Rattus norvegicus: one gene and its partner. The protein of the gene in region 2 binds, or shares a complex with, the protein of the main gene of each other region. Links are inferred from orthologs where the notes say so. Each region holds a gene or a part of one and is shown on either strand. Other genes may lie near its edges.

What was found.
Region 1: the proteins of Mki67 (region 2) and Nifk are in contact, whole or in part, in an NMR structure (PDB 2AFF), measured with the Homo sapiens proteins. The link is inferred for Rattus norvegicus from reciprocal best matches to the Homo sapiens genes MKI67 and NIFK. Residues at the interface, in NP_002408.3 of Homo sapiens: Thr9, Ile10, Lys11, Arg12, Ser13, Pro18, His19, Phe20, Pro21, Ser23, Leu24, Arg31, Gly32, Ile33, Glu34, Cys35, Asp36, Ile37, Arg38, Ile39, Gln40, Leu41, Pro42, Val43, Val44, Ser45, Lys46, Thr66, Asn67, Ile91; in NP_115766.3 of Homo sapiens: Val228, Asp229, Ser230, Gln231, Gly232, Pro233, Thr234, Pro235, Val236, Cys237, Phe241, Leu242, Arg245, Gln248, Val249, Leu252, Asp256, Lys257, Asp259, Glu260, Ile261, Val262, Phe263, Lys264, Gln265, Pro266, Ile267.

The regions. Positions count from the first base shown.
Region 1 is NC_086031.1:31,942,125-31,958,238, reverse strand, and holds Nifk (MKI67 FHA domain-interacting nucleolar phosphoprotein), read right to left. Parts: upstream 12,094-16,114; 5' UTR 12,062-12,093; coding exon 11,957-12,061; intron 10,398-11,956; coding exon of another isoform or gene 10,395-10,397; coding exon 10,260-10,394; intron 7,850-10,259; coding exon 7,741-7,849; intron 6,305-7,740; coding exon 6,093-6,304; intron 5,037-6,092; coding exon 4,968-5,036; intron 3,093-4,967; coding exon 2,907-3,092; 3' UTR 2,289-2,906; downstream 1-2,288.
Region 2 is NC_086019.1:199,926,273-199,942,386, forward strand, and holds part of Mki67 (proliferation marker protein Ki-67), read right to left. Parts: intron 15,501-16,114; coding exon 15,325-15,500; intron 14,519-15,324; coding exon 14,257-14,518; intron 14,171-14,256; coding exon 14,052-14,170; intron 13,966-14,051; coding exon 13,794-13,965; intron 11,910-13,793; coding exon 11,754-11,909; intron 10,916-11,753; coding exon 6,896-10,915; coding exon of another isoform or gene 6,542-6,895; coding exon 3,924-6,541; intron 3,266-3,923; coding exon of another isoform or gene 3,254-3,265; coding exon 2,843-3,253; intron 218-2,842; coding exon 152-217; 3' UTR 1-151. UniProt on the Homo sapiens protein: Protein that associates with the surface of mitotic chromosomes and acts both as a chromosome repellent during early mitosis and chromosome attractant during late mitosis.

The DNA of each region.
Region 1 (16,114 bases), on a different chromosome or scaffold from region 2:
CCTACCTCCACTATTGGGAAATTACCAATGTGTCATCATGCCCAGCAGACTGACCAAAATTCAGTTTCTGGTCACAATGAATCATTTCAACATAGTACTGGAAGATTGTGACATCACAAGCAAACAGCATGGGTTTGCTATGTCAAAGTACTGCTTTACAACACAATTCAGTATGGTGTCATATGCTGCACTGTGACGTGCCAGTCACGTGGTAATGACACAATGGAGCATTTAATATAACTCAGCTGTGACGTCACAGTGGCATACATGGAGCACCATGTCATTAGGGGACATTCTGGCATCTATGGAACAGTCATTATCACAACAGAGCCCTGCAGCATCACAATGACACACGATGACACAATGGAACCTTGCATTATTATCTCAATTGACCTGTAACATCAAAATGCTCTGTCAGATGAATGTGATGATGGCATAATGGTCTAATGTGATTGCACAATGCAGCACTGTGATGACAAAGGGACATGATGTTACCGTCAACAGTGACACTGTGGGACTTACCTGCACACACTGGTGTCTCATGCCCTTGGATCCCCTGGAACTGGAGTCACTGGCAATCGTGAGCTGTCGTGTGGGTGCTGGGAACCAAGCCTATGCCTGAGCCACCTGTCCGGCTTTCCTTGGTTCAGTGGAAATGCTCGGTTCAGTTTTTGCAAATGTGAGAGTAGCTCCCAGTATCCAAATCACTGGCAAACACTGGCCTGTCCATGTGTAGTCCAGTCAGATGTTTCTGGCTGTAGTCAAGTATAGATGTCAGTCCTTAAACATGACCTCAATGACTGCAGATGTCCATGTGCTGAGGCCAGAGGACATCGCAAGTACATAAAAAACATCACCATTACTTTCAGTCAAATGTTAGTTACCAAAAAACTACTTTATAGGGTTGAGGACATGGCTCAGTCGTAGAGCACACAGGACTTAGGTTCAACCCCCAGTAAGGGAGCAGGGAAGATGTCAGGCAGGGTGGCATAGACCCAGAGGAGGGTCAGGAGGGTCTACGTTGTGTGCCTGGAATACACAAGACTGTCTCAACAAGTTAAAAAATGGGGCCGTAAAGATGACACAGGAAAGTATTTGTCACAAGTGTGAGGTCCTAAGTTTGGACTTCAGAACCTATGTAAAAAAGGAAAAAAAACGGGCTGGAGAGATGGCTCAGTGGTTAAGAGCACCTGACTGCTCTTCCAGAGGTCCTGAGTTCAATTCCCAGCAACCACATGGTGGCTCACAACCATCTGTAAAGAGATCCGATGCCCTCTTCTGGTGTCTGAAGACAGCTACAGTGTACTTATACATAAATGAATAAATTTTTTTTTAAAAAAAGGAAAAAAACAAAAAAACAAACAAACAGGCTTGGTGTGGTTTTCTCCATAGAGAAGAGATCTCAGGCTTGCTGGCCTGCTCTGGGAGACCATTTCAAAATGGTCTTCTGATTTCCAGACATGTGCCACGGTCTGTGTGTGTTCTTTCCTCTCCTGACATCAGAAACATAACCATAAGGTAATGTGATTAAAGAAATAATCTGCCTTACACATACAAAAGATGTCAGAGGCATTTAGGCTGTGGCGTTCTGACCTGATTCTAAGTTATATTCATTAGCTTAAAACATCAGGAAACTAGGCTGTAACTAAATCTAAAGTGAAGTCCCTGCTAGTGAACGGGAAAGGCTCTCACTTACCCAGGCCCTGAGCTCACTGCCAGGCTACCAAGGTGCTATGTCTTATGGCCTCAAATCAGGTTCATTAAGAGCCCTATCTCAGGCTGGAGAGAGATGGTTCAGTGGTTAAGAGCACTGACTGCTCTTCCAGAGGTCCCGAGTTCAAATCCCAGCAACCACATGGTGGCTCACAGCCATCTGTAATGAGATCTGATGCCTTCTGGTGTGTCTGAAGACAGCTACAGTGTACTCATATATAATAAATCTTAGAGAGAGAGAGAGAGAGAGAGAGAGAGAGAGACAGACAGACAGACACAGACACAGACACAGACAGACAGACCTATCTCAAGCCAGCTGGTGGCAGCACACAGCTTTAATCTCAGCAGTTGGGAAGCAGTGGTAAGTAGATCTCTCTTGAGTCTATCAGACTAGTCTGACAGAGTGAGTTCCAGAATAGTCAGGACAATATAAAGAAATACTGTCCAACCAGAGTCCTATCTCAAGTGATTAAGGGGCAGAGGGATAGAAGACACTTGATTTTCTCTTCAGGTGTGTGTATGTGCACACCCAGCATTTACACTCACACCCACAACTGGACAAAAAGGATGCTTAATGGTGATTGATAGGTATATTCAACAAACCCAAATTAGCAAAACAAAAGCATAGAAAGATGGAGACTTTTTTAGAATTATCCCCACAAGCTCTTAGGTTCTCTTGTACACAAACTGCAGAAAAGTTTGGTCACCGTTGAATCTTCAATACAACCGCTGAAGCCGATTTGTGAAACCTACACACTAGCTTAGCTGCAATTAACTGTGGGTGAGAACAAGTCATTTCAGATTCCTCCTCAGCACCTGGACTGCCCTCTCACTCTCTGGATTTAACTTACAGTTTCAGATGCCTGAGGTTGAAGCCGGACACACTTTTTTGGGTTTTTTTTATATACACAACCACATACAGTCCAAACAGCACCCAGCAGCCATAAAGACTCCTGGGGGTAGTTAAGCCTGAGTTTCATAAGGATAGTAAACTTAAGGGAGCCACGAAGCCTGAAGACAAATTCAGGACAGGAAAGGGCAAAACAGCCAGTTCCCTGGTGGCTTTCCTCACTGGAAAATCAAACATGTATTCTTACTCCAACAGTCCTGTCCATGTTTGCATGTCACCACACTTAGCAAAACACAACGAGATCATATATGACTAGAACTAAGTGCATAGAACGCTGTCAGGATCACTGCTTGCTCTTCCTTTTTCTCAGTCTTTTTTTCCCAGAGCTTTCAGGTGCTGGAGTCTTTTGTGTGTCTTCTTTCACTGGTGACACAGGCAGTTTCAAAATGATTTCATCATCGTCATTGATTTCCATCAACTGTGATTTCCGTCTTTCCAAAAACGTTGGTGTACAAACTGGCGTGGGATCCTGAAAGCAACAAATACACTACAGTCCAGGACTGGGCACAGGCAGCAGGACAACCACTGAGAATCACTACCACCCTAGTGTCCATCACCTTCTTAGCCTTTACCAGGAGCGAACACCCGACACCTCTACCCCCCTAGTTTTAGGTATACCATGATCTGTTTTCAGCTTGTTCTTATTTTCCCTCGACACAAGGGAAGACTGCTTTTCCTCCTTCAAATTATGTCTATAGCAACTGATTCCCAGCATACAAGGACATGCTCACCTGGCTGTCCACAGATGACGACTGCTTCCTCCTAGACCTCTTACTCTTCTTGCTCATGTTAACAGGGTAAAGAAAGGCTGTGCTATGCCCAGATGGCATGGTGCACGCCTATCTCAGCTAGGAGCACACCACAGCGTGTCCTCAAGTTTTGACACAATGCTTCTGCACTTGAGATTGGGGCAAAGAAGCAACAGATACCTAGCTTCTGAGGAAGGCACAATAAAGCTTGGAAATCGATGCCACCTAATTACAGTTATGTGGGGAAAAAGCTGACAGGTTCTATGGAGGACAGAAGACATTCTAAGAGTCAGTTAAGGAAACCTTTGTCAACCCTCGTGAAAGACACCTGGGACTCCTTAATGTCGCAGACAGAGGGCCAAGTCCAGCAAGGCTTCCTTATCTTGTTTCCTGACTAGCAAGGGACTCAGCACCAGAGAAACGCCTCTGCTAATTCACTTCTTGCTCCTGGGGTTGCTGAAATCTAACCTATACACAATCACAAGCCCCATGCTCACCTGCTTCATTCTGATTTTGATTATTATGACTATTTCCAGCTTGAAAGAACATGAAGAACATCTTAGCTAAACTGACAAGATAATGAAGATCAGGGGGCTGGAGAGATGGTTTGGCACCGGCTGCTCTTCCAGAGGACCTAGGATCAATTTCTAGCACCCACATGGCTCACAAATGTGTGTATGCAAACCTGCTTGGGCCAAAAGGACACTGGGTATCCTACCTTATAAATCTTTATTTCCCTTGGACAAAGTCTCTCCCTGAACCTGAAGCTAGACTGGTGGCCAGCAAGTGTCACATGTCCATGTTTCCCCTCTTCTAAAGCATGAATCTGACATTATGTGGATTCTAGGATTTGAACTCAGGTCCTCATATTTCTGTAGCAAGTGCTCTTTCTCACTGACTCAGCTTCTACACAATTTTAGGGTTTTAAAAATCACAATGCTGCGGCTGGAGAGATGGCTCAACAGTTAAGAGCATTGACTGCTCTTCTAGAGGACCTGAATTTAATTCTCAGCAACCACATGATGGCTCACCACCATCTGTAGTGAGATCTGATGTCCTCCTCCAGTGTGTCCGAAGACAGCGACAGTGTACTCATATACATAAATAAATAATTAAAAAAAAAAGATACTCTCTCACAATGCAAGAGACCAGTTCTAGCCTAAAGTTACAGCAGGAGGATGGGAGGTTCATCTTCAGAACACTTTAGTTGGGGGCTTACTGTGTAACATTGGGGCTCCCTTGGGCTATATTCAAGATTTCAAGATCAATTACTAGATCTCAAAAAAGTGCCCCAATAAACCCCCAAACACCCACCAACTATATGAAGTCTTTAACAAAACGTGAAGTAGTGGAAATTACTTTTTTACCTTAAAAAAAGTTTTTTTGATTAGTCTGTGTGTGTGTGTTGTGTGTGTGTGTGTTGTGTGTAGCTCGGAGGACAATTTTTAGGAGTCAGCTCTTTCCTTCAACAATGTGAGATCCAGTGTCTGAACTAGGTAGCCAGGCTTGCTGGCAAGTGTCTTTGTTCCAAGTCTTGCCAACACTCCTGAAAGTATTTCTATAGTAACCAGTGCCCATTATCCAGATTATCTTACCTGGTTAGCCTCAGAATCCCCATGAGTGTTAGCAATGCTTGAAATCTCTTTCTTTGGCTTAGGAAGGACCTGCAAATAAACAATTTGCATATTTATCAGCTATATGCATATGTGGTAGCTGAATTCCCATTTTAAGTATCAGTGTCCAATTGCCAAATGGTTTGAATGTAAGTAACCAGGGTGAGTAGTGCATGCTTATAAACAGTACTTGGAAAGTTGAGGCAGAAAAGCCTGCAATTTGGGGGAGCCTAGACCATGGAGCAAGACCTTGGTTTAAAAAAAAAAGCTAGGGACTAGAGAGATTGTTCAACAATTATGAGCACTGACCATTCTCTCAGGACGCAGATTCAATTCCCAGCACCCAGATGGTGACTTGCAACTATCTGTGAGCTAGTTTTATGGTATCCAACACTCTTTTCTGGTCTCCAAGGATACCTGGCAACCACTTGGTACACAGACAGGAAATTATACTGGGGGAAAAAAAGCTGGCAGGGGCCTGGGAATGTAGTTCATACAAAGTAAAATACCTAAAGCTCTGGGTTATACCTCCAGGACTGCACGAACCTGGAATCATTATGTATGCCTGTAATCCCAGCACTTAGAAAGCAGAGACAGGAAGACCAGAAATTCTATGCCATTCTTGGCAGCATAACAAGTTTGATGGCAGCTTGAATGAGAGACCCAGTCTTCTTAATACAACAACAGGAGCAGCCACTAGTATAAGCAAGTTCATCTATCTACTCAGGATCCCAAGATACAGAGGCAAGAGGGTCTCTGAAGGCTTGCCTGAGCTACAAACTGCTCAAACCTGTCCATGCAACTCAGCCAGATCTTTTCTCTAAACGGGGCTAGAGTTTGAGGGTGGGAGGGATGGATGATGCAGGCTCAGTGTCCTGGGTTCCATCCTCAGTACCAGAAACATTAAAAGCAACAGACTACTTGCCTCGCATGGGCAGGCTCCAGCCTGGTTACCCATCAACCAAAAGAGCCACATGTACAAACCAAACCAAAAACCTAGTGTGAGAAGCAGATTCTGTATAATCACAGACACAAGTTACAACCAGTGAGGCAGGAAGCTCATCCCTGTAAGACAAACCACCAAGAAAACTAGAAAAGGATATTTACCAGTGAAGGAAAACTATAATCAATACCCTTCTTAGCTAGTTTCTTCCTGAGTAATTTTTCCTTCTTCTTAAACCGATATTCCATCTTTAACATCTGCAAATGTCCTCGTTTCTGATTATAGCGTTTCACTGCTGGAAATGATGGCGGATGAAACGGAACATTGCACTGGTTAAAAAGGTCTTTATGAACTTTTTCTCGTGGCATAAATTTACCTATAAAACAAACAAAGAGGAAAGGTTCTTTTAATTTTGTATTTCCCAGATAGCTATTTCTTGTGATATGAACTAACTACTTGACAGAAATAACCTTTAAGCATCAAACAATGATTACTGTCTATGAGTGTGCATGTGTGTAGGTTCACATACCCTGATGCCTGTGGAGGTAGTGCACAACTCTGGGGGTTGGTTCTCTCCTACTTTGATGTGGGATCTAGGGATCAGACTATCACACTTCCACATCAAGCAGCTTTACCTGGTGGCCCACCTCTCTGCCCTCTTCTTTCTTTTTTTTTCTTTTTAACACAGGCTCTCACACAGCCTAAGCTGGCCTTGAAGTTGCCTGCAATGAACGTGAACTTCAGGTCCTCCAGCTTCCACCGCTCAAATACAGGCACTAAAGGTGAGTGCCATCAGATGCAGTGTATGTGCCTGTATGGCCTTGTGAACGCTGGGCCAGTACTCTACCAGCTAAACTAGACTCCCAGTCCCACATAAGCCCTCTCTACCCTGGACGGGGCAAAGATTTGTAGTAAAAAAAACTCAGTAAAATCCAGAGTCTTTCTGGTATTTTCCTCAAACCAGATAAAGCAGAGCACCTATGCCCTCAGGTTTCTGTCCAGCCACTTTCTCCCAACAGGAGGCTGTATGCCTGTAAACTGGTCCCAGGCAGGGCACATGCTACCATGGGTGTAGGCAGGCTGGGCACTTAGGTCTACCTTCCAAGGCAGAGATCTGGATGGTGATGCCACAGGTTTCAGTGATGGGGCACAAGGTTCACAGGGCTCTACTTACCGATCTCTGTGGGAACAATTTATATGCCTATCTGTGGGTGAGTCATCTGTGCAGAACAAGGAGGGCTCCTTGTAGTCTTCTACCCTCTCACTCTTGGTTTTACTTCCTTCAAACAGCCTCTCACTGAGCCTGGAGCTGGGCTGACAGCCAGCGCTGCACCCATCGTTGATGAGTCTGATCTTGAAATGTGATTCTTTACTCTTGGTCTTGCCCTGTATAGACTCCACTAACAGGCCTCACATTAACTTCTTAGTTTTACGGGTGTCAAGAATCTGACCTATAGCCCATCTATCTCTCCCAGTTGAGTTCCCTAACATTTGGTAAGAAATGAACTCAGGCTGCACTGCTGTCCCTTTATTGGCTCATGACTATCTAACCGTCCGTTTTCTTTTCCATTTTTTGACATAAAGCCTCTACACAGCCACGGATGTCCTTGAACTTAGAGAGATCAGCCTGCCTGTGCCTCCCAGGATTAAAGGCATGTGACACTTACACTGGGCTTTAACCCCATCAGTTTCCAATTTGAGCAAAGTTATTCCCAAACACCCGTTAAAGATCGGTCTGCTTCTCTTCCTGAATACAACCCCACAGGTAACTTCCTAATCCAATCACAGTGCAGGAAAGGTCAGAGTACTTACATGATAGAAGCCTTTCACCAAAAAGGTAGTTATCCATTGTTTCTGCAACTATCTTGGCAACATCCTCAGACTCAAACTCCACAAAGGCAAAGCCTCTGCTGTTTCCAGTCTGAAACAGAAAACCCACAAAAGAGCAGTTAAGTGGCTAATTAAGAGCATTCAAGGAATAGGGAGGCAAAGTTTAGAACAGAGGCAGAAGGAACACCCATTCAGAGCCTGCCCCACATGTGGCCCATACATATACAGCCACCCAATTAGACAAGATGGATGAAGCAAAGAAGTGCAGACCGACAGGAGCCGGATGTAGATCTCTCCTGAGAGACATAGCCAGAATACAGCAAATATATAGGCGAATGTCAGCAGCAAACCACTGAACTGAGAACGGGACCCTTGTTGAAGGGATCAGAGAGAGGACTGAAAGAACTTGAAGGGGCTCGAGACCCCATATGAACAACAATGCCAAGCAACCAGAGCTTCCAGGGACTAAGCTACTACCCAAAGACTATACATGGACTGACCCTGGGCTCCAACCTCATAGGTAGCAATGAATAGCCTAGTATGAGCACCAGTGGAAGGGGAAGCCCTTGGTCCTGCCAAGACTGAATCCCCAGTTAATTTGATTGTTGGAGGGAGGGTGGTAATGGGAGGAGGATGGAACCTCCTCCATATAGAAGGGGAGGGGGAGGGACTAGGGGGATGTTGGCCCGGAAACCGAGAAAGGGAAAAACATTCAAAATGTAAATAAGAAATACCCAAGTTAATAAAGATGAAAAAAAAAAAAAAACATTTGACCTGGGTTCAACTCCCAGCACCCACATGGCAGCTGAAATCCCCTATTTCAGAAGCTCTGATGTCCTCCTTTCTGGCTTCTGCAGATACTAGGCATGCATGTAGTGTACAAATACACAGACGGGCAGAACACCCATACACATAAATAATAAAATTCCCTTTGAGTTGGGCATGGTGGTGAATGCCTATAATCCTAATATGTGGGAAGCAGAGGTAGGATAATTACAAGTTCAAGGCTAGCCTAGTCTGTGTAGCAAGACTGGAACAGCCAGAGTTCCACAGTTAATCTCCATCTCAAACCAACCAAACGAAACCCAAACACTTTAAAGGTGCTTACAGGATATAAATCTAAAAACCTGTTGAAACACATGGCCTCTGTCATGGGAGTGATGGCTCATCCTAGTATCTGAGCCACTTCTAGGCTCTGGAAGTGGAACCATGTTTCTGGAGCAAATATGGATTCATTGCTCACTGTACCTTCACTAGTTGAGCGGTGAACAAAGGCTACATCTCCTGGTAGCTGTTAAATAAATGCAGCAGTACATCAAGAATCAATTATTTCTTAGAGGGGCCCATAGATGTTATTTGGGGAGAGGCCTCTGGAGCAAGTGAGGAGTAGCCATTCCGTGAGACTGTGGAGTCTACAGAATTTAGCAGCTATGACTCAGGCAGAGGCAGTGGCTGCTAAGATTATCAGGAAGCTGGACAAACACTTGACAAAGGAAAAAAAGCTGCTGGCTGTATTAGCCAGGGCACCTGCAGGAGACAGCAGGTACATTCCAGAAGGGATCCACGAAACTCAACCCACCAAGAGCCAAAGCTCAGGAGCCTCCTCAGGAAATGGAAGACTCAGACAAAACAACACCTTGTTTCCAAGGAGGGAGGTAGAGACAGGTGGGGCAGCACAAGTCTCCCAAGGGAAAGGATTGTTCAGAGAACTAGGAAAGGCAACCAGCAGAAACCCCAAGAGTTGGAAATTCTCTTCCAGGGAGGAACCAGTGGGCAACAGGCCTTAAGAAGCTGGTGTGGTACCACAGACAAATCCCACCGCATGATTTAAGCCCCAGTAAAAGCAAATTCACAAAAAACAAAACAAAAAAAAACCCACCAAAAACCAAAACCAAAAAACTGACCTGCCACTTCTGTTTTGGCTAAACTGGCTGGGAGCAAGTTCTACAATCCAGGCTCCAGCTCCCAGTACTGGGCTCACTTGGCCTTTCAGTTGGTGCTTGAGGAAAAGGTGCGTGTGTGTGTGTTCTACTTCCTGTTTAGAGCGCGAGTGCTCTTACCATTGGGCCATTTCCCCAGGTCTCAGTCACCCTGTCACTGGGCTGGAGCTGGGCTGAGCTGGCTAGTCAGTGCGCCCCAGGAACCCCATTCCCACTTTCCTAGCACTGGGATTACACATGTATGTGACCATATCTGGCTTTTGACCTGGGTTCTGTAGATGGACAGTTACAAACTGGGCTATCTCCACAGCCTCATTATTTTTCTCTCTTTATTGAGATAGAAATCCACATTATGTAGCTGTGACTGGCTTCAAACTCAGTGGTCTACCTATCTGTCTCCCAAGTGCCGGGACGAACGGTATGAGCCACCATGCTGCTTCGCTTGTGAAGAGTTCCCAAGTAGGAACTTTGTAGGTAACAAAGTTTTGCCTATGAATACAAAGGAGGCCGTACAATTGACAAGCAAAATAAACATAGTTGAATTCAGGTACAGAATCTTACCCGCTTACTTCTGGACAATCTGAATCTTCTAATATCGCCAAACTGGGCACAGTAGTCATAGATGTGGCTTTCAGAGAGCGTTGAAGGTAGGTGCCCCAGATAAACTACTCCAGAGTTAAGTTTTTCTTCCTTCTTCTGCTGAGGACAAAACAGATAAACATTTTAAAAAATTCACACTGCACCAAAACATTGTATATACACATTTTTTTCTGACCTGGGTCTCATTATGGAGCCTTGGCTGGCCTGAAACTCACTATGTAGACCAGGCTGGCCTCTAATTCATGAATACTAAGAGTAAAGGCATTACTATGCTCTCTGCAAAGGACTTTATTTTTCAACAAAGGTATGTTACCATTCCTTAACTTCAGAAAAATTTAATTCTAAAGTCTTTTTTCCCTTTTTTGAGACAGGGTTTCTTTGTGTAGCCCTAGTTGTCCTGGAGTTAGCTTTGTAGACCAGGCCAGACTCAAACTCACACAGACCCACCTGCTTCTGCCTCCTGAGTGCTGGAGTAAAGGTGTGTGCCACCACCCCCCAGCTTTCTAAAGTCCTTTCAGAGGATAGGTAGAGCTTTGCCTGCCTCTGTCTCTCCAGCACTGGACTGAAGGTAAATGTAACCTTACCTGGCCTGCAACAAAATTTTCAACACCCTTCATTCCTCTTGGTCCGGGAACATTTCTCTATCACAGCAGAAACTGAAAAACTAGGTGTCTGTATCTCTTTTCTTAAGCACCGCTGTGCAAACCTGAGGCTTGAGTTCAATCACACAGAGCCACAGACTCTGCAGAGACAGACTTATGTGTGCCGTGGTGTGCATGCACACCCACCTGTCCCTACAAAGCAGTCGGCACATGTGTTCCTTAATGGACAATCAAGTGAAAGTCTGTCATTGTCACTCCGAATCCAAGACCTTCAACTCTGAACTCAGATGGCAGCTTATTACATCGAATCATTTCCGATTAACCTTCACAGTGAAGACTATACTTCTGTCACCACCTTAGAGAACAAGAACTTGTTTCCCATCAGGTAGGGTACTGGGTGACCTATAGTGACCTACACCTGTAATCCCAGTGGATATATGGTTCAAGGACTAGACTGCACGGCAAATGTGATGCAATTTTGTGCTACAAAAACTCTACAAAGACACTGTAACAAAAACAACCCGCACAAAAGACACCCCCGCCAGGACAACAGCAAAACAAGAAAGAAAATCTTCCTTTCTCTCCAGTGCACCTCATGCTGAAAACCAAAGGGGATATAAACTTCCTTTCGGGGCAGTCTGGGAACAGAGCTTGGCAGGCTGTAATCCCTATTTTCTTTGGCGAAGCTCTGGTCTGAATACTGAGCCCGAGCTGTTTTCTGACTCTCGATCCTCCTGCTTCCCCGCTCGTCCAAGGACCTGGATTTGTCTGTTCCGTCTACTAAGCACTACAACGTAAGGGGACATACATACCTTCCAAATGCTGTGGTTCATTCTGAACCCCCATTTTGCGGGCCAAAGCGGAAATGTGACAGCTTTAACATATTTTGGGAATTGGAGGTGCCATGCTCCCCACACGTGGTACACCTCCTTTTTCACGTGAGCCCTGAGGGCCTAAAGGGTCAAACCTCACACCGATTCCCTGCCTGCCTCAGTCTCCAGAGCCCGTGAGAGGTGGGCTCCCGAGTCAGCGCGGCCAGAGAGCCCCGCCGCTCACCTTTTTCGCGCGCCGTTGTATTTGCGTCAGATCCTTCTCAAACTGCGAGTCCTCCCGCGGGTTCAACGCCAGAGTCGGCTTCGCAGGGCCTGAATACTCGGCCATACTGGAGAAGCACGAACAAGTTAATCCACGCGGAACCTCCGGAAGTGACGTTCTTTTCACTACTCGGAAGCGGAAGCAGAGGCGGGAGTGTAGCAAGAAGAGCAAGCCCTGGTGTTTGGAATTGGACGACCTCGAGCGCCACCTATTGACCACAATCTAAAAGACTTTCTAAGACGGATTAAAAATTATTCGGAGGCTAATGTTGGTGAAGTGCTTGCCCAGCTCTGCATAAACCATGACTGGAGCCCCACGCCTGTAATCCTAGAATTTGGGAGGTGGAGGCAGGAGGATCAGGAGTTCAAAGCGGTTCTCATATGCATAGTTCGACCACGGCCTGGGCTCCATGGACTCAAAACAAATTTACAAGTCCCAAACATTATCCATGTCTGTTGGCTAGTCAGGCCTACAAGCAATAGGGAAAGTCTTCCTGCCATGGACTCCTTTTGTAAACTTTGTAAACACTCAAGCAGGAAAGTGGTCAGGCCCCTGCCTGAGGAGCTTCAATGGCCAGCCTCCCCAAATCTCCACATGTCCCCCTCTTTCCCTAACATCCCTAACGATTTCTAACCGCCCAGAAGTGGGAGAGTGACCAGACTCTGGCATACAAGAAAAAAGTTCCACCAGTCCCTGAGTTCCCTCAGGTTCAGGACTTGAAATTCCACCAGTCCTCACCATGGAAATCTCCACAACATAGTGCAACATATATTTGTATTTTTGATATTATACATGTGTCTTTATGTGTTCAGGAATTCAGGTGACCATAGAGAATAATGGTGTGGGATCTCCTGAACCTGGAATTACAGGCTGTTGTGAGATGCCCAGTGTACTGGGAACTGAACTCAAGTCCTCTGGAATAGTAGAAAATATTTTTAACTGTGAACTACTTGTTCAGTCCCTATTTATTTTATTTTTATGTGATAAGTGTTTTGCCTGTCTGTATGTGTACCCTATATGTGTAATGTGTGTGCCGAGGACAGAAGAGGGTATCAGAACATGGACTTAAGGACTGTGAGCCAGGGTCCTTTGGCTCTTAACCACAGAGCCATCTCTTCAGCTCCCTAGTAGGTTTCTTTAGATAACACAATAGGAATTTTGAGAAAACACACACACAAAAAAAGAAGTTTGAAGACTTTCTTATGTTGAAATAATTGTCTTGGGATGTAGCAATGGCTCAGTGGTTAAGAGCACTGGCTGCTCTTTCAGAGGTCCTCAGTTCAATTCCCAGCAACTACATGGTGGCTCACAACCATCTGTAGTGTGATCTGACGCCCTCTTCTGGTGTATCTGAAGACAGCTACAGTGTACTCATATACATGGAATAAATAAATATTTAAAAACTGTCTTTCTGTCTTCTCCATTTGTTTATTTACTTATAGATTAATTGATTGATTGATTTTGTGTGTACGCCTGTCAATGAGTATGGGTGTGTGCACCTTTGCCCTGTATCACATGTGTCTAGGTCAAAAGATGACTTGCAATAGTTAGTTCTTTCCTTCCCCGGTATCGGTTCTGGGGACTCGGGGCTGGTGGTAAGTGCCTTTACTTGTCAAGCCATCTTAATGACCTGGTCTGAAGATTATTTTAAGCCAAACATTTTTGAGACTCAGGGGATACAAAAAGGTCTTTATCTAAGAGAGCAAGTTCTGAGGAGATGTGGCTTCCTTAAATCCCTTTGGGGAATATCATGACATTGAGAACACTGTAAGAGGGGCTGGAGGTACAGCCTCGGTACAGAGCTTACATGCCTGTTTTGAAGCTCTGGCTTCTATTTCAAACTCTGAGTAAGCAGCACCTAGACAGCCAGCAATGTATGAGGCCTTCTCAGTTTCCACAAAAGGGGGAGGGCAATGGCAAGGTGGCTCAGAGGGTAAAGGCTACTGCTGTTAAGTACTGCTGAATTGGACCATGGAACCCAAATGGTACAAAGTGAGAACCAACTCCAGCAAGCTCTCCTCTGAGGCTGTACTAGTTTTCTTTCTGTTGCTATGATAAAACAAACCAAAACTAACCTGAGTGAGAAACAAGATTTTGTCTTATAGGTTAAAATCCAAAGGCAAGAACTGAAGTAGAACCCATGAAGGACCATTGCTTATTGGCTTGTTCCCAGGCTCATACTCAACCACTTGTCTTATATAAACCAGGCCATCTGTCAAAGGATGTTAGCATCCACAGTGGGCTGGGCCCTCCTATGTCAACCAGCAACCAGGAAAATGGCCCCAAAACATAACTCCCAAGGACAATCTGATGGAGGCAACTCCTTAACTGAAGTTCCCTCTTCCTAAGTGTATCAGTTACTTTCCTGCAGCTGTGATAAAGCACCACGATCAATGGACATTATAGGGAAAGGAGTTTATTTTGGTATATAGTTCCAGAGGAAGAATGCAGGAGAGCAGAGAAGTCATGGGAGCAAACAGTAGCAGGAAGCTTGGGAGCTGAGAGAGCCCATCTTCTGCAAACATTAAAGCCTCTACCTCCCACGTTCTCGCATGCTCAACTCATCTACCTTAGTTTTCTATTACTGGGATGACATCACGAGTAAGGCAATTTGTAGAAGGAAGAGTTTATTTAGAGCTTACATTTCAGAGAGTGAGCCCATGACACTCATGGCAGGGAGCATGGGGGTAGGCAGGCAGGTGGGCAGGGCACTGTAGTAGTGGCTGAGAGCATATGTCCTAATCCACAAGTAGTAGGAAGACAGAAAGCTATCTGGTAATGGCATAGGCTTTTGAAACCTCAAAGCCTTCCCATAGTGAAACATGTCCTCCAACAAGGTTCCACCTCCTAACTCTTCCCAAAGTTTCCACCAACTAGGAACCACGTACTCAAATATATCACCCTAGGGGGGGCATTCTAATTGAAACCATTACATCTGGTTCATGTTGTACTGAAGTCAAATCCAACGACTCACATTCTAGGAGAGCCTTCTACCTCTAGAGCTGTATCCCTGGCCTAGGGCCTGCGACTTGATTATGTCATCAAGTTCTTCAATTCCTTTTCTGATTTTCTGTTCTGTTGACATTTATCTTATATTGGTCTGATTCACAGACCCTCATACACAGAATAGAAAAAAATGGAAAGTGTTTTCTCTTATTTCTAGAAGATACGATGTACAATTGGCTATGTCAACTGGAGAGATGGCTCAGTGGCTAAAAGTGTTTGCTGCTCTTTCAGAAGACACAGGTTTGATTTCCAACATCCATGTATCAGCTTAAAACTGTCTGTAACTTCAGTTTCAGGAGATCTGTTGTTTTTTGGCATTCTCCGGCACCAGTCACATATGTAGCATACTTGCATGTATTCAGGCAAAATACTCATACACATAAAACAATACTTATGTTGCTTTGAGAAAAGGTCTCATTATGTAGCCTTGGCTGGCCTGGCACTTACTTTTTTTTAATCTTTATTAATTGAGTATTTCTTATTTACATTTCGATTGTTATTCCCCTTCCCGGTTTCCTGGCCAACATCCCCCTAAACCCTCTCCCTCCCATTTTATATGGGCTTCTCCTCCCCATCCTCCCCCCATTACCACCCTCCTCCCAACATTCACGTTCACTGGGGGTTCAGTCTTGGCAGGACCAAGGGCTTCCCCTTCCACTGGTGCTCTTACTAGGCTATTCATTGCTACCTATGAGGTTGGAGTCCAGGGTCAGTCCATGTATAGTCTTTGGGTAGTGGCTTAGTCCCTGGAAGCTCTGGTTGGTTGAAATTGTTGTACACATGGGGTCTCTAACCTCTTCAAGCTCTTCCTGTCCTTTCTCTGATTCCTTCAACGGGGGTTCTATTCTCAGTTCAGTGGATTGCTGCTGGCATTCGCCTATGTATTTGCTGTATTCTGGCTGTGTCTCTCAGGAGCGATCTACATCCGGTACCTGTCAGCCTGCACTTCTTTGCTTCATCCATCTTATCTAGTTTGGAGGCTGTATATGTATGGGCCAAATGTGGGGCAGGCTCTGAATGGGTGTTCGTTCTGCCTCTGTTCTAAACTTTGTGTCCCTATTACCTGCCAAGGGTATTCTTGTTCCCCTTTAAAGGAGTGAAGCATTCGCATTT
Region 2 (16,114 bases):
GGAGCTTGAAGAGAGTATGATCAGGAAAGCTCAAAGCTTCCTTCCTTAAGCACAGGCAATATTATTTACAGTTCACCTTCACACTGGAGATGAAAATCATACTGGAATCTATCACTAAACCAAATTTACTTTTCCTTCTTAAATGTCTTTGCTACACAGTTTCACTTTTCTGGTGACTTCTTGTTCTTAATATCTTGGTGTATACAATGTCTTCATCCTGTTTGGGAAGAAAAACATAACTCCTAAATAATGTGAAGGAACAATTTGATGAACCCCTCGTCTTTACTAGGTGTCATTCAGGTCTCTCATGTATAAATTAACTTTGAGGGTCTGGAGAGATGGCTCAGGGGTACTTTCCACACTTACAGAGGACCTAGTTTAACTCCCAGCATCTATATAGTGGCTCACAACCATCCAGGGGATCAGATGCCCTCTTCTGACTGACCTCTGCAGGCAGGCACATGGCACATAACACATATACATACATACATACATACATACATACATACATACATACATACATACATACATACAAATGGTTTCTTACTTAGCTTTTTAAAATTAAGACTCTGTGCTCTTTCACAAGCTTCTAATATATACAAGTTCTCCATCACTGTATGTGGTTCACTAATTAGAAAACATCATTCAGAAAAATTGAATGTGACCTAGATAAAAACTTAAGTGTTCTAAAGCCAACTTCCCACAGACAGAGGGCAGTCACTGTGTCCTGAGGTCTCCTATGTGGCTACAAAAGGATAGTGAGTCCTCGAAGGCAGTGGGGAGATAGAAGCAGGCCCATCTACCTGGAAGCCCTCCAATCTACAAAAAGCAAAAAGTCACAAGAGCTTCTTAGAGCAAATGACTCAAAGTAACACAAGGTCCATCCAACACAAATTAGGAAAAGCCAAGGGTGATGCTGGGCAGCTTTATAAGTGATCATGGACAGTTAAGAAAAGGAGACAGAAAACAGGAACTCTAAGTGTGAGGCTCAGTATGGACAAGAAGATCTTGGTATGTGAATGCTGTTGAATTCTAGAAAATAACAGGGAGATGCTAACATGGATCTACTGTATTCTTTAGAAAGGCACACACACCAGATAAGAGGTTTGCTCCTCCAGTACACTTGCAGGATGGACCCTTGGAAAACACATATACCCCACATTTGCAGTATCTGGGTCTATGGACAATGGAACAGACAACAAAGAAAATAGTCCTGGGAAAACTTGTCAGTGTATGGAGTCCACTGGGTACAAGTGAGGAGAAGAGGACTGAGTGCCTATGACCTGGCCTGATCACCCTCAAGGCTTGGCTGTTGTGTTCAGGATCATTTGAGTATAAGAACCTGGATTTTACTCCTTCCATTTTATTCTGATAAAGTACTACTTTTCAGGATTATGAATCTGGGCTTAGCGTTCTGAGGGAACATAAGATATACTTGTTAAGCCTGTGAGGCTGATGTGTCTTGGTATCTATAAGAAAGCCTACTACCATGAGAGTTTCTGCTTCTAGACAGCCCCTCTCCACGTCTTAGGTATTGATCTACTTTCCTGAGCCTCTCTTCAATCCTCTAGAGCAGTGGTTCTCAGCCTCTTTGTGGGGTTGTCAAACAATCTTTTCACAGGGGTCACATATATCATGAATATCAGATATTTACAATATGATTCATAACAGTAGCAAAGTTAGTGATCAAGTAGCAAGAAAATAATTTTATGACTGGGGACACCACAACATGAAGAACTGAATTAAAGAGGGTAGGAAGGTTGAGAACCATTGCTCATTCTATCTGCACCTCTTCACTAGACTTTCATGCCTCTTGCTCCATCCCTCAGCCATGTGGGATGTTTTGTGGCCTCTGGGAGGCCTGGGTCTCCTTGCACTGTCAGTTGTTTCTTGGTTTATTCTAGAAGTGGTTAGGACTGCCAGCTCAGCACACCTCTGTCTTGAGTGGCTGTCACTACCCCTATCTCATCAGCTGTCTCGGAACGTTCAGAGTATGTTCAGGTTCAACTTGAGTGCCAAGAGCAATTATGTGTCGTTCCCACAAAGGTAACTGCCTAGCTCATCTTTAACTTTTCCTAGACTACTGATTAATGTAAGCCTGCCATTGGGAGGGTGCAAGCACAGGCAGCACATGAGCATTTACAATCTACCAGCTTAGATAGTGTGTGAGCTTAGGGTGCTGAGCCAGCACACTTTCTACTGAGCAGACTTTACCTACTTCCTTTTATTTGGTTAGGAGACAGACAACGCTGGGTTTATTCTGCCTTTTTATTTATTTTTTAAAATCCGATTTATTCCTTTATTTATTTTTATTTTTTTGCCTTCACCTATGTATGGACACATGCCTGCTTGGTGCTTAAGGAGGTCAGAAGAGAAGATCAGATCCCCTAGAACTGGAGTTACAGATAGTTGGCAGCTATGTGAGTCTTAGGAATCATACCTGGCTCCTCTGAAAGAGCAGTCAGTGTTCTCAACTGCTGAACGAACTCATTCAGCCATTTAAAAGGAAATCTTTTGAGGTCCTGACATGCCCACTTTTGTTTTAGTTAAGTGTTGCCAATCTCAAGAGGCTGAAGATGTCATCTATAACCATAATAAGCCACATCACAAACATCAGAAGATGACATTAAAATAGCTAGCTCTTCTGGAATGGAACCTTCAGTGGGTAAATTTGCTATTCAAAGTGGATTTACCAAACAAGCACAAGAAAGCAGGAGCCTGAGTGATGGCTTCTCCCACTAGAATAGCAGGAACTGCTGGTATGTCCTTCTGCCTCTGCAACCTGGGCACAAATATTAGAATGTTCTGGGTCTCTAGAATGTAAGACAGCAAGGGCCCTTACCTTCTTCAGAGTTTTTGCATCTTTCTTGGCCCCTCGAGTTACTCTTGGCTTAGGTTCATTGTCCAAAGTGACTCTAGTTTGTCTGGATCTCAAACGCCTAACATCTGGATCTCCAGAGACTCCTTTCTCTTGCTGGGTCTTTATCGAGATTTCTGCACCTGATTTTCTTGTTTTCTCTTCTGCTTCATGAGGCTGGGGAATCTCCGTCTGTCCTCTAGACCTCAAACATGTTCTTTTCCCACTGACTTTGCCCAGAGATGAAGACTTCTTGGTTCCAGGATCTGGATTCTGCGGCTCTGTCTCCTGGGAGATCTTCATTGTTTTCTCATTTTTCTTTATCCCAACCTTCTCTGCAGACGCATCAAACTTGGGGCTTGGCTGTTTTTCAGTTTTCTTTCGGTACCTAGAGCTCTGGGGTATTTTCTAAGGCAATGAGAAGACAGCCACAAAATTAGCTAAATCTAAAAGATCCATCAGGAAAAAAAGATAAAAGCAAAAATATAAAAAAAACCCACAAACTTTATATATTAAATTTATATTTACTGAGTCATCTATGATATTCGAGGCAATGCCTTGGTTACTTTGTTCCTACAGAAAAATAATCATTTCTACTAATAAATTATAAATTCAAGATGTCAATCATAATACATATCAAAACCACTCCAGTTCATACTATTGAAGAATGCCCATCATAAAGGCAGTAGTGGTCCTTTAAAGATCACTAAGGTACAAGGCCCTGCAATCTTTGAGGGGTGTCATGGTAACCTGCCTACTTCATTCCTTTTCAAGGATATATAACCTATGTCCTTAATACTGTCACATACACAGAGCTACACTGACCACCTGTTCCCTGACACATTCTTCAAACCAAAGATACATTTAGTTTAGAGAGGAAAACATTTAGGAGTTAGTCTATTCCTTGCACAGATCCCTAAGGATCACTGGCTACAGCCTATTAATGGTGAAAAATAAAACTTAAGGAGATGAATAGTTATATGTGCACAAACTCCTAGCAATATACACAAATACCCTCAGCAAACACACCCTTCCCGACAAGCACCCACTATATTCCCCACATCACCTGATCTGGAGTGACAGGGTTCTCTCTTTTGGCTTCCATTTCTTCTATTTGCATAATGGTGCTAATGTGCTCCTCCACAGATTCACGTTTATGTGACACACTTCTCAGGTGTTTCACCTTCACCGGCTCAGGTGACACCTGCCTCTTGGTAGAAGCTGCCCTTTGTTTCTTATGTACAGGCTTCTCACCTGTTGCTTCCTGCTTTGGGGTTACAGAGCACAAAGTCCTGGTTTTCAAAATCCTTCCATCTCTTGCAGACTTCCTGGGGGGGGACAGGTAAAGGTTGCTTTTGCTTTGTAATGCTGCAAGGTCACTGGTATCCATCAACACTTCTTTGGGGTCCTCTTTAGAGGTCCTCAGCACTCTTCTGCATTTTCTCAGAGGTTTCATTGAGTCTGGCTTTTGCTGTAGAGTGCTCTTAAGAATATTAGTGTCATGTCTTAGTTTCTCAGAGTGATCTGATATTTGTGTTATTTCTTTGGAGTCACCCAGGACTTCAAGAGGTTGAACCCCATTCTTACGTGTCCTTAGCTGCCTTTTGCTGTCAGTTTCTTTGGCTACTGTATCTAATGTCTGCTTTACAGGTGCCTTTGAAGCTTTGGTACCATTGTCATCAATTTCAGTGACCTTTCGGGATCGCACACTTTGCCTTGATGTTGGCACTGTCTTCCTTACTGCTGAAGGCTTGTCTGCCTCTACTTTCCCATGTCTTGTCCTGGGACGTCTTGGTGAGGGTTGGAGGCTATCAACTTGCTCTGGTTGTAGAGAATTACAGGGCATCTGTGTGGGTTCTTTATCCCTTGCAGATTCCTCAGTGTGACCTAGGGTTTGGATTGGTCCTTTGAGACCAGCCAATTCTACGGTCTGTGCCTTTTCCTTGGGTATCCTCCGTGGCCTCTTGCTGACAGTCATACTTGCTACTGGGTCAATTTTCTGCTCTGTAGACTTCTTAAGCTCTTCAACATTTATCCTGTTACCCATGGGCTCTTTGAGTCTGCTCCTGGTTTCCCTGGCTGGTTGCTTTCTCTGTGCTGTGGGCTCCTCTTCCACACCCACTTTGAATAGTTGTATTCTGAGCTGCTTCTTTAAGCCTACTAAGGTTTTCTTCTCTTCTGGTTGTGGAGATTTGCAAGACATTCTTGTGGCAATTTCCTCTTGGAAACTAGTCAGCTCTTCCAAGGGTTGGGTCTTTTCCTTAACCTTTCTTGGTTGATTCCTCCTGCCGGTTAAACTTATGGCTGGGTCTTGTTTCTGTGCCGAAGACTCCTTAAACTCATCTACACCATTACTACTATCTATGGGCTCTTTGTGTGTGTTTCTGGTTTGCCTTAACACTCTTGTAGTCGTTCTTTGTGGTATGGGCTCTTCAGTCACACCCAGTCTCTTGAGTCGTCTTCTTGGCTTTATCTCTGAAGTTGTATCCACAGGTTCTGGAGATTTGCTGGGCACCTTTGTGGTTTTGTCAACAATAACTGAGTCCATTACCAAGCATGGAGCTTGGCAGAGCTCTTGGAAGCCAGGCAGATCCTCTAGGGTCTGTGGCTCTTCTGCTCCTGCAATTCTTTGCCTCTTGCTGCTAGGTAAATTGACTGCTGTGTCCAATTTCCGCTTTACACATTGCTTCCTTGCTTTAATGACTTTCTCTTCACCTCCTGGTGCTCTAGATGAGTCCACAATTTCCCCTGACATTTTTGGATGCATTCCGTCTTCTGACAGTTCATTTTTCACATAAAGGTTCCTAAGACGAGTTCTGAGCTGTCTACCTGAGATTACTGAAGTATCTATTGGCTCTGGTGGTGGAGAACTGCCTGGCATTTTTGCAAGATTGTCCAGTGTCACTAAATCCTTGTTCTGTCCTGGTGTCTTGGACAGTCTCTTTGTGCTTGCTGGGGTTATGACTGGTAGTGGTTGTGAAGATTCCAGAGACACCTTTGTACTTTCATCAACAGTCACAGGGTCACTGGCACCAGCTGGTGTTTGGAAGAGTTCTTGGAAGCCATCCAGGTCTTCTAGGGGCTGAGCTCTGGTCTTAGGTGTCCGTGACCTTCTCTTATGTCCTGCTGAATTTCCTGTGAATTCCAGTTTCTGCTTTGGAGTTTGCATAAAGGGTGTGGTGTCATTTTCTTCCGGCACTGGTGCAGGTGTGCCTGTCACTGTGTCTGATGACTTTGTTCTTTTCCCAGGTGTTGAAGGCTCTTCTCTCACATCCACCTTACTGAGACCTGTCTTGGACAGTCTCTTTGTGCTTGCTGGGGTTCTGACTGGTTGTGGTTGTAAAGATTCCACTGGCATCTTTTTACTTTCCTCAACAGTCACTGAGTCACTGGCACCAGCTGGTGTTTGGAAGAGTTCTTGGAAGCCACCATAATCTTCCAGGGGCTGGTCTTTTTCCTTAGGTGTTTGTTGTGGTCTGGTAAACCCAGTTAAATCTGCTGCAGTTGCCAGTGTTTCCTTTGGAGTCTCCATAATTGCTTTGATCCCATTATCCGCCTGCACTGGTGCTGTGAGGGCTCTGCCAGGTGACTGCTTCCCGAGAACTGAAATTCCTCCCGTCACATCTACTTGTCTCAGGCTAATCTTGGGCAGACTCTTTCTGTTGTTTTGGGTTCTAACTGGTCCTGATTGTGGTGGTTTAGTAAACATTGTTGAGGCTTCAGTGTTCAAAGAGTCCTTAGCATGGCCTGGCATTTGGCAAAGCTGTTGGGAACCAGTCACGTCTTCTAGGCTTGGTGTGCTATCCTTTGAGGAACGTCTCATCCTCTTACTGCTAGGCATACTAGCTGTTGGATCCAGTTTACGCTTTGCAGGTTTCCTAGATGACCTAAAGACTTTGTTGTTGTTAGGTACTTGAAGTGTGTCTATACCTTCTCCTAATTGTAGGTGTTCCTCTGATTCTAAAAGTTCTTCTTTAACATTCATGTTACTCATACTTGCCCTAGACTGTCTCTCTATGCTCTTTAGGGTTATGGCACTTCCTGGTTGTGGAGAAATAAAGGACATTTTTTTGGTTTTGCCAACTGCTAATGGGCCATTGGCATGGTCTGGTGTCTGGAAACCCTCCTGAAAACCAGATATGTCCTCTAGATATTGGGCTTTTGCTTTAGGTGTTCTGGACTGTTTCCTAAGCCCTGTTAAATCTCCTAAAGACTCCAGTTTCTGCTTTGGAGTTTCCATGAAGGTTGTGGTGTTATTTTCTTCCTGCACTGGTGCCGGTGTGCCTGTCACTCTGCCTGATGACTTTGTTCGTTTCCCCAGGGTCGAAGGCTCTTCTCTCACATCCACTTTACTGAGACCTGTCTTGGACAGTCTCTTTGTGCTTGCTGGGGTTATGACTAGTTGTGGTTGTACAGATTCCAGAGACACCTTTGCACTTTCATCAACAGTCACAGGGTCACTGGCAGCAGCTGGTGTTTGGAAGAGTTCTTGGAAGCCATCCAGGTCTTCTAGGGGCTGAGCCCTGTTCTTGGATGCTCGTGACCTTCTCTTATGTCCAGTTGAATTTCCTGTGAAATCCAGTTTCTGCTTTGGAGTTTGCATAAAGGCCGTGGTGTTATTTTCATCCTGCACTGGTGCCGGTGTGCCTGTCACTGTGTCTGATGACTTTGTTCGTTTCCCCAGGGTCGAAGGCTCTTCTCTCACATCCACCTTACTGAGACCTGTCTTGGACAGTCTCTTTGTGCTTGCTGGGGTTATGACTAGTTGTGGTTGTACAGATTCCAGAGACACCTTTGCACTTTCATCAACAGTCACAGGGTCACTGGCAGCAGCTGGTGTTTGGAAGAGTTCTTGGAAACCATCCAGGTCTTCTAGGGGCTGAGCCCTGTTCTTGGATGCTCGTGACCTTCTCTTATGTCCAGTTGAATTTCCTGTGAAATCCAGTTTCTGCTTTGGAGTTTGCATAAAGGCCATGGTGTTATTTTCATCCTGCACTGGTGCCGGTGTGCCTGTCACTGTGTCTGATGACTTTCTTCGTTTCCCCAGGGTCGAAGGCTCTTCTCTCACATCCACCTTACTGAGACCTGTCTTGGACAGTCTCTTTGTGCTTGCTGGGGTTATGACTAGTTGTGGTTGTACAGATTCCAGAGACACCTTTGCACTTTCATCAACAGTCACAGGGTCACTGGCAGCAGCTGGTGTTTGGAAGAGTTCTTGGAAGCCATCCAGGTCTTCTAGGGGCTGAGCCCTGTTCTTGGATGCTCGTGACCTTCTCTTATGTCCAGTTGAATTTCCTGTGAAATCCAGTTTCTGCTTTGGAGTTTGCATAAAGGCCATGGTGTTATTTTCTTCCTGCACTGGTGCCGGTGTGCCTGTCACTGTGTCTGATGACTTTGTTCGTTTCCCCAGGGTCGAAGGCTCTTCTCTCACATCCACTTTACTGAGACCTGTCTTGGACAGTCTCTTTGTGCTTGCTGGGGTTATGACTAGTTGTGGTTGTACAGATTCCAGAGACACCTTTGCACTTTCATCAACAGTCACAGGGTCACTGGCAGCAGCTGGTGTTTGGAAGAGTTCTTGGAAGCCATCCAGGTCTTCTAGGGGCTGAGCCCTGTTCTTGGATGCTCGTGACCTTCTCTTATGTCCAGTTGAATTTCCTGTGAAATCCAGTTTCTGCTTTGGAGTTTGCATAAAGGCCGTGGTGTTATTTTCATCCTGCACTGGTGCCGGTGTGCCTGTCACTGTGTCTGATGACTTTGTTCGTTTCCCCAGGGTCGAAGGCTCTTCTCTCACATCCACCTTACTGAGACCTGTCTTGGACAGTCTCTTTGTGCTTGCTGGGGTTATGACTAGTTGTGGTTGTACAGATTCCAGAGACACCTTTGCACTTTCATCAACAGTCACAGGGTCACTGGCAGCAGCTGGTGTTTGGAAGAGTTCTTGGAAGCCATCCAGGTCTTCTAGGGGCTGAGCCCTGTTCTTGGATGCTCGTGACCTTCTCTTATGTCCAGTTGAATTTCCTGTGAAATCCAGTTTCTGCTTTGGAGTTTGCATAAAGGCCGTGGTGTTATTTTCTTCCTGCACTGGTGCCGGTGTACCTGTCACTGTGTCTGATGACTTTGTTCGTTTCCCCAGGGTCGAAGGCTCTTCTCTCACATCCACCTTACTGAGACCTGTCTTGGACAGTCTCTTTGTGCTTGCTGGGGTTATGACTAGTTGTGGTTGTACAGACTCCAGAGACACCTTTGCACTTTCATCAACAGTCACAGGGTCACTGGCAGCAGCTGGTGTTTGGAAGAGTTCTTGGAAGCCATCCAGGTCTTCTAGGGGCTGAGCCCTGTTCTTGGATGCTCGTGACCTTCTCTTATGTCCAGTTGAATTTCCTGTGAAATCCAGTTTCTGCTTTGGAGTTTGCATAAAGGCCATGGTGTTATTTTCTTCCTGCACTGGTGCCGGTGTGCCTGTCACTGTGTCTGATGACTTTGTTCGTTTCCCCAGGGTCGAAGGCTCTTCTCTCACATCCACCTTACTGAGACCTGTCTTGGACAGTCTCTTTGTGCTTGCTGAGGTTATGACTAGTTGTGGTTGTACAGATTCCAGAGACACCTTTGCACTTTCATCAACAGTCACAGGGGTCCTAGCAGCAGCTGGTGTTTGGAAGAGTTCTTGGAAGCCATCCAGGTCTTCTAGGGGCTGAGCCCTGTTCTTGGATGCTTGTGACCTTCTCTTATGTCCAGTTGAATTTCCTGTGAAATCCAGTTTCTGCTTGGGAGTTTCCATGAAGGTTGTGGTATCATTATCTTCCTGGGCTGGTGCTGGTGTGCCTGTCACTCTGCCTGATGACTTTGTTCTTTTCCCAAGGGTTGCAGGCTCTTCTCTCACATCCACCTTACTGAGACCTGTCGTGGACAGTCTCTTTGTGCTTGCTGGAGTTCTGACTGATTCTGTGTGTGGAGATTTGCTGGGCATTTTTGTGATTTTGTCACCAGGGACTGGTGATAGAAAGAGTTCCTCGAAACCAGTCAGGTCTTCCACAGGCTGAGCCTTTTCCTTAGCTTTTTCTAAAGGCCTCTTGCTTCCAGTTACTGTTGCAGCCAGCATTTCATTTTCAGATTGCCTCAAAGCTTTGATATCCCCATGCTCAAGTTTTAGAACTTTGGGAGTATGCCTACTTTCCCCTGACATATGTATAAGCTTTGTCACGGCAGAGAGTTCTTCCTTCCTATCTACTTTCCTCCTAGATGTGCTGGTCCGTGGCTTTGCGCTTGCCTTGAGGTTCTCTGTTTTGGGTTGTGGGGATTTGCAAAGGACTTTAGTTTCATCATCACCTATGGGTTCATCTTTGAGATCTGGTGTTTCAAAGTGCTCCGTGAAATCAGCTGCACCTTCTAGAGGGTGTGTCATTTTGACAGGGGTCTTTGACCAGCGCTTCACTCTGGTTGCATCTACCACTGTGTTAACTTTCTGTTTTGCAACTCCTTGATCACTTTTTGATGTGTTTTGCGTGTACATGGATTCCTCTAGGTTTTGTATTGTTCCTTGTTCTTGACTAAGTAGGTCCTCAGCACAGTCTGCTGATTGGGTGACCATCTGACTTCCTACTAAGTCTTTTGTTAGTTTCTGCTTCCTGGCACTTGATCTCCTAGCGGATGTCTTTTCTGAATCTTCACTTAATTTACTGTTTTCCTCGCATCTTTGTGAAGAGTTTTCACTGCCCTGCACTTGTTGGTCTACTTCTTGTCCTTGAAATGTCTTCCGTAGATGTCTTCCTGTGATGCTCTTGGCAAGGACTGCTTCTGTTTTTTCATTCTTACTTTTGACAAGGGTATGTCTGAGCTCTCTAGATCTCCTTAACTTGCTCATACTTGATGCTGTCTTTAGAGGCTCTGTCTCAGAGGCTGGAGTCTTCTTCTCAATTTGCGTAATGTTATGGACATTCTTAGGAGTTTGCACTGTGTTTTCATGTTTGATGCTCTGCCGTCTTAAGGTAGAACTTGCAGAATATTTATTGGATTGCTGCTTTGCTGCATTCTGAGTACTGAGGAGCACTTTTTCTCCTATAAGAAACAAAAATATATATACATAAAAAGTTATCATTTTCTCCACCTAATACCAGCTTAATATTTTATCTTTTGGAAGTATATAAGAACCAATAATTTAGCTTTTCTACCAAGGAGTTACTAGATGATCTCAACCATGTACTATTTATGATCTATTAAATGTAATATTATTTGGTAACAGGGAAGAGCCATTGTAAAGTATCCTTAAGGGTCTTCTGAAGCCTGTCAAGACAGGTGACATGGACCTGAATACAAGCAAATTTTTGTTCTGAAACATTTGAAACAGTTATTTATTATCTTGATTCACTAATGAAGTAATGGATTCTACTATGCATATTTATGGTCCATATCAAATTCTGTATGTAAGCAACTTGTGATCCTCCTACCTCTACCTCCCAAGTTCTGAGATTAAAGCCATATATCACCACACAATGTTTTTGCAATGCATAGACTTAACCCAGAGTTTCCTGCATGTCAGGCGAGCACTGTAACAATCGAGACTTACATCTCTATGCTCACAATAATTTTTACTGAAATCTATATATAAATATGGCAAGACAAGTGTACTGTTTACACCTCTATCGCCTTATGGCAAAGAAGCTAATAGCATACAGACTTATTAACTGAGTGAATAATATTTCCTACCAAGCTAGGTCAATGATTAACATTTAGAAAAATTGCAAAGACTGCTTAAAAACAGAACAGAGATGGTGGAAATGGCATTTGACCAGGAAAAGCTACTGTAGAGAAGAAACTCAGTACTGTGCATGAAGAAAAAGGCAATCTTCAAGTCTCCATTCCACAGTCTAACAGTGGAAAGGACAAATGAACCAACCCAAAATCTCTGAGGCGGTGGGTGGGGGTGTGTCTTCTGAGTTGGTTCCTTGCAACTGTCTTTCAGACAAATTCTCTGAATCAGACAGAATGGAGCCCACGTCACTCATCTGCTGCTGCTTCTCCTTCACTGGAGTCTTGAACATTTCAGTTAGTCCTGATAAAAGAAAACATTGGAAACATGGCTTACATTATCTCATTCCTCATATAAAACAATGTAGATGACAAAGAAGCTTTCAGATTCCAGGGATGCATCATCTCAGTAAAATGATTTTTGTTAATATGCTCATAAAATTAAAATTAAAAGAACAAAACAAAACAAAAACAAAAAACAAAAAAAACACGTATAGCCCACTTCTCTAAACCTCTCCTATGGGAAAGGAAATTCAGCGATTTAGCTGACCTCTGTAGTTTTCTACACTAGTTCCCAAACAATAAGCCCCAGCACAGGGACAAAAGTTAGGCATGGGTACCTCACCTCAGAGTATTGATGATCTGGAATCCATGACCCACAGGCCTTGTTATGCCCTCAGCAAGTCTAGGTTTACCAGATCTAAATCCTCGGTATATATAATATGTTTCTACAGTTTAGAATACAGGCAAAATACTGACCATTTTCAGTCCTGTCAAGAACAAACATTCCCACGCACACACACTTTAAGTACCATCCCTCCCTACTCACTTTACTATCAAAAAGGCAGTAGTGACTCCTTATGGCTAATTAAGCTTCCTGAAAAGGAGGCTTGTGTGTCATGCTTCTGTCTTGTTGGCGTCACAGAATGAGAGCTGGAGCTGGCATTCACTAAAGAACGGGTCTGAGAACTGTTGCAGTGTCTATCCACACTAGCCTGTTCAATAAGTCTCATTTGTCTTCCAGACCTTACTGCTTACTTGAAATGTCAGGGTTTACCCTCTAATGTTTTAAAATGGAAGCTGCCAGGTCAGGTATGGTAGCCCTAAGAAAGTAGAGGCAAGCAGATTTCTTTATGTCTTAAGTTAACCTGAATAGTAAGACTCTATCTCAAGAAAAAAAGAAAAGTGTGTGTTGGGGGGCTGAGGGGTTGGGAGCTGCCTACACCAAGAGAAGAGAATTGACTGACTCCAAGAATGAATGAAGGAAGGAACACTCAAGACAAGTCACTGTCTCATGTACCGTGTATTTAAACTCTTATTTATCTTTGAGTTTTTGAAATATAATATAATCCAATACAATATATATTTATATATCATCCTCAATTTATAATCACATACACACACTTGATTCATTTTTTGTTTTCATCTTTTGTTATTTTTATAGAGATAAATAAATTAATCCAAAATGTAGTTCTTTTAGGGGCAATTTCACAAGCATTATACATGAGGTATTTGGTCATTTTCAATTCCCAATCTGCCACAAATAAAAGTAAGATTTTACCTACTCAGTTCAAATTGTAATTCTCTTCCAGAAACTCACATATTGAGGAACATGAAACAAATCTGCTTTCCTGAGAGTAAGTCTAAGCCAGCCAATTACACCTTCACTGATACTCAAGACAGTGACAACAGCTTATCAATAGCTCAGAAAAACCTTTCTTACATGGCTTCCTCTCAGCAAGCAGTTAAGCTCACTAGAAAGAAAATGAATCTTGGAAAAGCATTACTACTGCTCTAAACCAACTTATTCCCTGGGATCAGCCGTCAGTGCAACTCCTTGGGAAGAAAATAACACCCAATCATCCTCACACCACAATGCACCTGTCCGTTTTCTGTTCACACACTGCTCACCAGAGGCTATGCACTTCAGATTTCCATCCCTGCTTCCTGTAGGGCACAGATCCCCCAAATTGACTGAGACCTGTCCTCTACTCCCAACCAACTTCATCTTTGAATATTATGACACCTGAAAGCTGCTGGCCCAATGGGTTATTCTGTAGTCACTCACTGCTACTGGACTCCAGCTGGGGTTCTAAGGTTGTAAGAGGGGGGCGTGGGATGGAGTCACAAACAGAACGATCAAGAAGACTGTGACTGCAGACCTTCTCGTAAATGTAACTACATTTACCTGACAGATCTTCACTGAAGTCCATTTTCCAGTTTAGCATCAAGTTGTTCAGCATTTTGTAGGGTCGGGCAGGCATGCTTGCCTTTTCAGTCTGTGCTCTCCCTATTACAATGGTACAGGGTGAGTTTGCATGGCCTGTAGTAAATTGATCGTGAAGGCTGCTTGTAGGTTTCTGCAGACAAACAAAATATCACAGCATGAACATCGCATGCCTAAGACAATTGAAAATAAAAGCAGAGCGTGGCTGAAGCTCTATACCTTTGGAGTACTGGGTCTTCTTTGTCTTTTTCTTGTCTGCTTTTGAGGGACATGTTTCACAACTTTCATTTGCGTTTGTTTCACGCCAAGTTTTACAACATCAGCCCATGATTTTGCAACTGTCAAAAGGAAGAGATGGTGAACGTTTCAAAACCCATCATAAGAAAGTTGAGTTGGAACTCTTTCTGCCCAATACAGCACTAACCAATCAGGTTGGCTTCAGAAGCACCACTTCTTCTTTTGGAGCAAATCATCTGTAGAATGCCATGCTGACTTCGGCTGATGGATGCTCTCTTCGCAGGCAGGTTGCCACTCTTCCTGCCTGCTTTCTTGGGAATGTCTGTCTCATATAAGAATTTGCTTCCGCTGGAAGCAAGTGAAGTCCTGCCTGATCTTCGTCTTTCATCATTTGTCCTTGGTGGAGTTACTCCAGGAGACTCTTGTTTCCCTGGAGACGGAGGCCGTTCCTGACAAGGCAGAAATCATTTATGAAAAGCCTGAGTAAGGAGGTTAACATCTCTGTAATGCCTGTTAAAAACCTTTACAACAAACCAGGTAGCTTTTAAATCATGCACCAGTGGCTCTGTCTTTCAAGGATAAGAAAGGGATCAGTTGCCCCATTCATTTAAGCAGAGGAAGGGGACATATGAACCAGTGGAGTCTATTTCTGGTGGAAACAGGGACACTACTCAGCGAAATAAGGCACTCGGTTTCAGCTCAGCCAATACCAGCCAGGGGGTCTGCATGGGCAAAGCTACTTTTGTGAGGTGGGACAAGGCAGGTATTAGGTGTGCTTCCAAGTCTTTTAGGTTCTAAAAGAATAAGCTGTCCAGGGCCCTTTTAGTAAACTGAGCTACACAGTCACACCAAGGAAAAGCAATAGAACAGTAATAGAGGGCTAAAGGCCTAAGGAGCTACATGTGCAGAAGAGATATGTTTTACCGAAGATTTTCCTCCCCACAACCTCAATGCACTATACTCCCAGGAAAAAAACAAAGCAACCCTTGTGGTCACATGTGCTGTTGCCCTCAGCTTCTTCTAAATAATGCCAGTGTGTCCCAGGGAGTTATAGGGTCTTCTTTAAAGGGAAAGTGTCTAGTACCCCGCCTTACCTCCCAGAACTACTTGAGAGCTCATATGCTTGTTACTGGGCATGAGACAAGTAGTAGAGAAATAAGAACTCAATTACCCTTTACCTCAGCCTGGTTTTGGATAGAAAGTGAACCATCTGTGAAATATGAGGTACAAACACAGGGTTGACTGTCCAACTAACCTTGATGATTTTCTTTAGGCCAGCTGGACTGTGAGTGCCAAGAGACTTCCTCTTCGTTGGTGTTTCTCCTCTTTTGAGTGGAGTATTAGGAGGCAAGTTTTCATCAAATAATTCAGGTCTTAGATGACCCCCAAAGGATACACGTCTTCTCTTCAAAGGCACTCCCTCACTCTTGTCTGAAGTAAGGAACGCAAACAGATAAAAAGAGCAATGAAAACGCTATGCCAGGACTTAGGATTTATTTCAAAATAGCATGAAAAAGTAATGCATTGCAAAGGCACTGAAACATGGCACCTTGATTCATAAAACTGAAACCAGAGCAGCCTCAGGACTTCCTAAAAGATCTCAAGAGAAACCAGATGCATTGCACTTCAACTGGAGAGAATGGAGGTTCTCCTTAAAACTAAAAATTAAAAACTTAAAAATTGCATGTGACTTAGCTTAAGAAAGTCATCTGCCCACAGCAGTAGTGTTACTCTCCAGCAGAGAAGACAGAACCTGAGCAGTGCCCTGGGGAACTGGATAAAAGACACATACATGGGCCAGACCCAGATCTGCCTTATGAGTAAACTATATGAGCAGGCAAAATATCTCAGGTCATGCTAGTAGGAAGTTCATGCAACCCAAAGCCATTCTATAACTTCCTGAATAGTCTACATGAACTCCTTGTCCAGGACTGGCACTCCATTATAAGGCACAACTGAACACTGGCTGACGCTGATAGGTCCAAGTGTCACTGACAGATAGCCACACCAATAGGTCACCACCAGAAGCTATTCCTGATATAAAG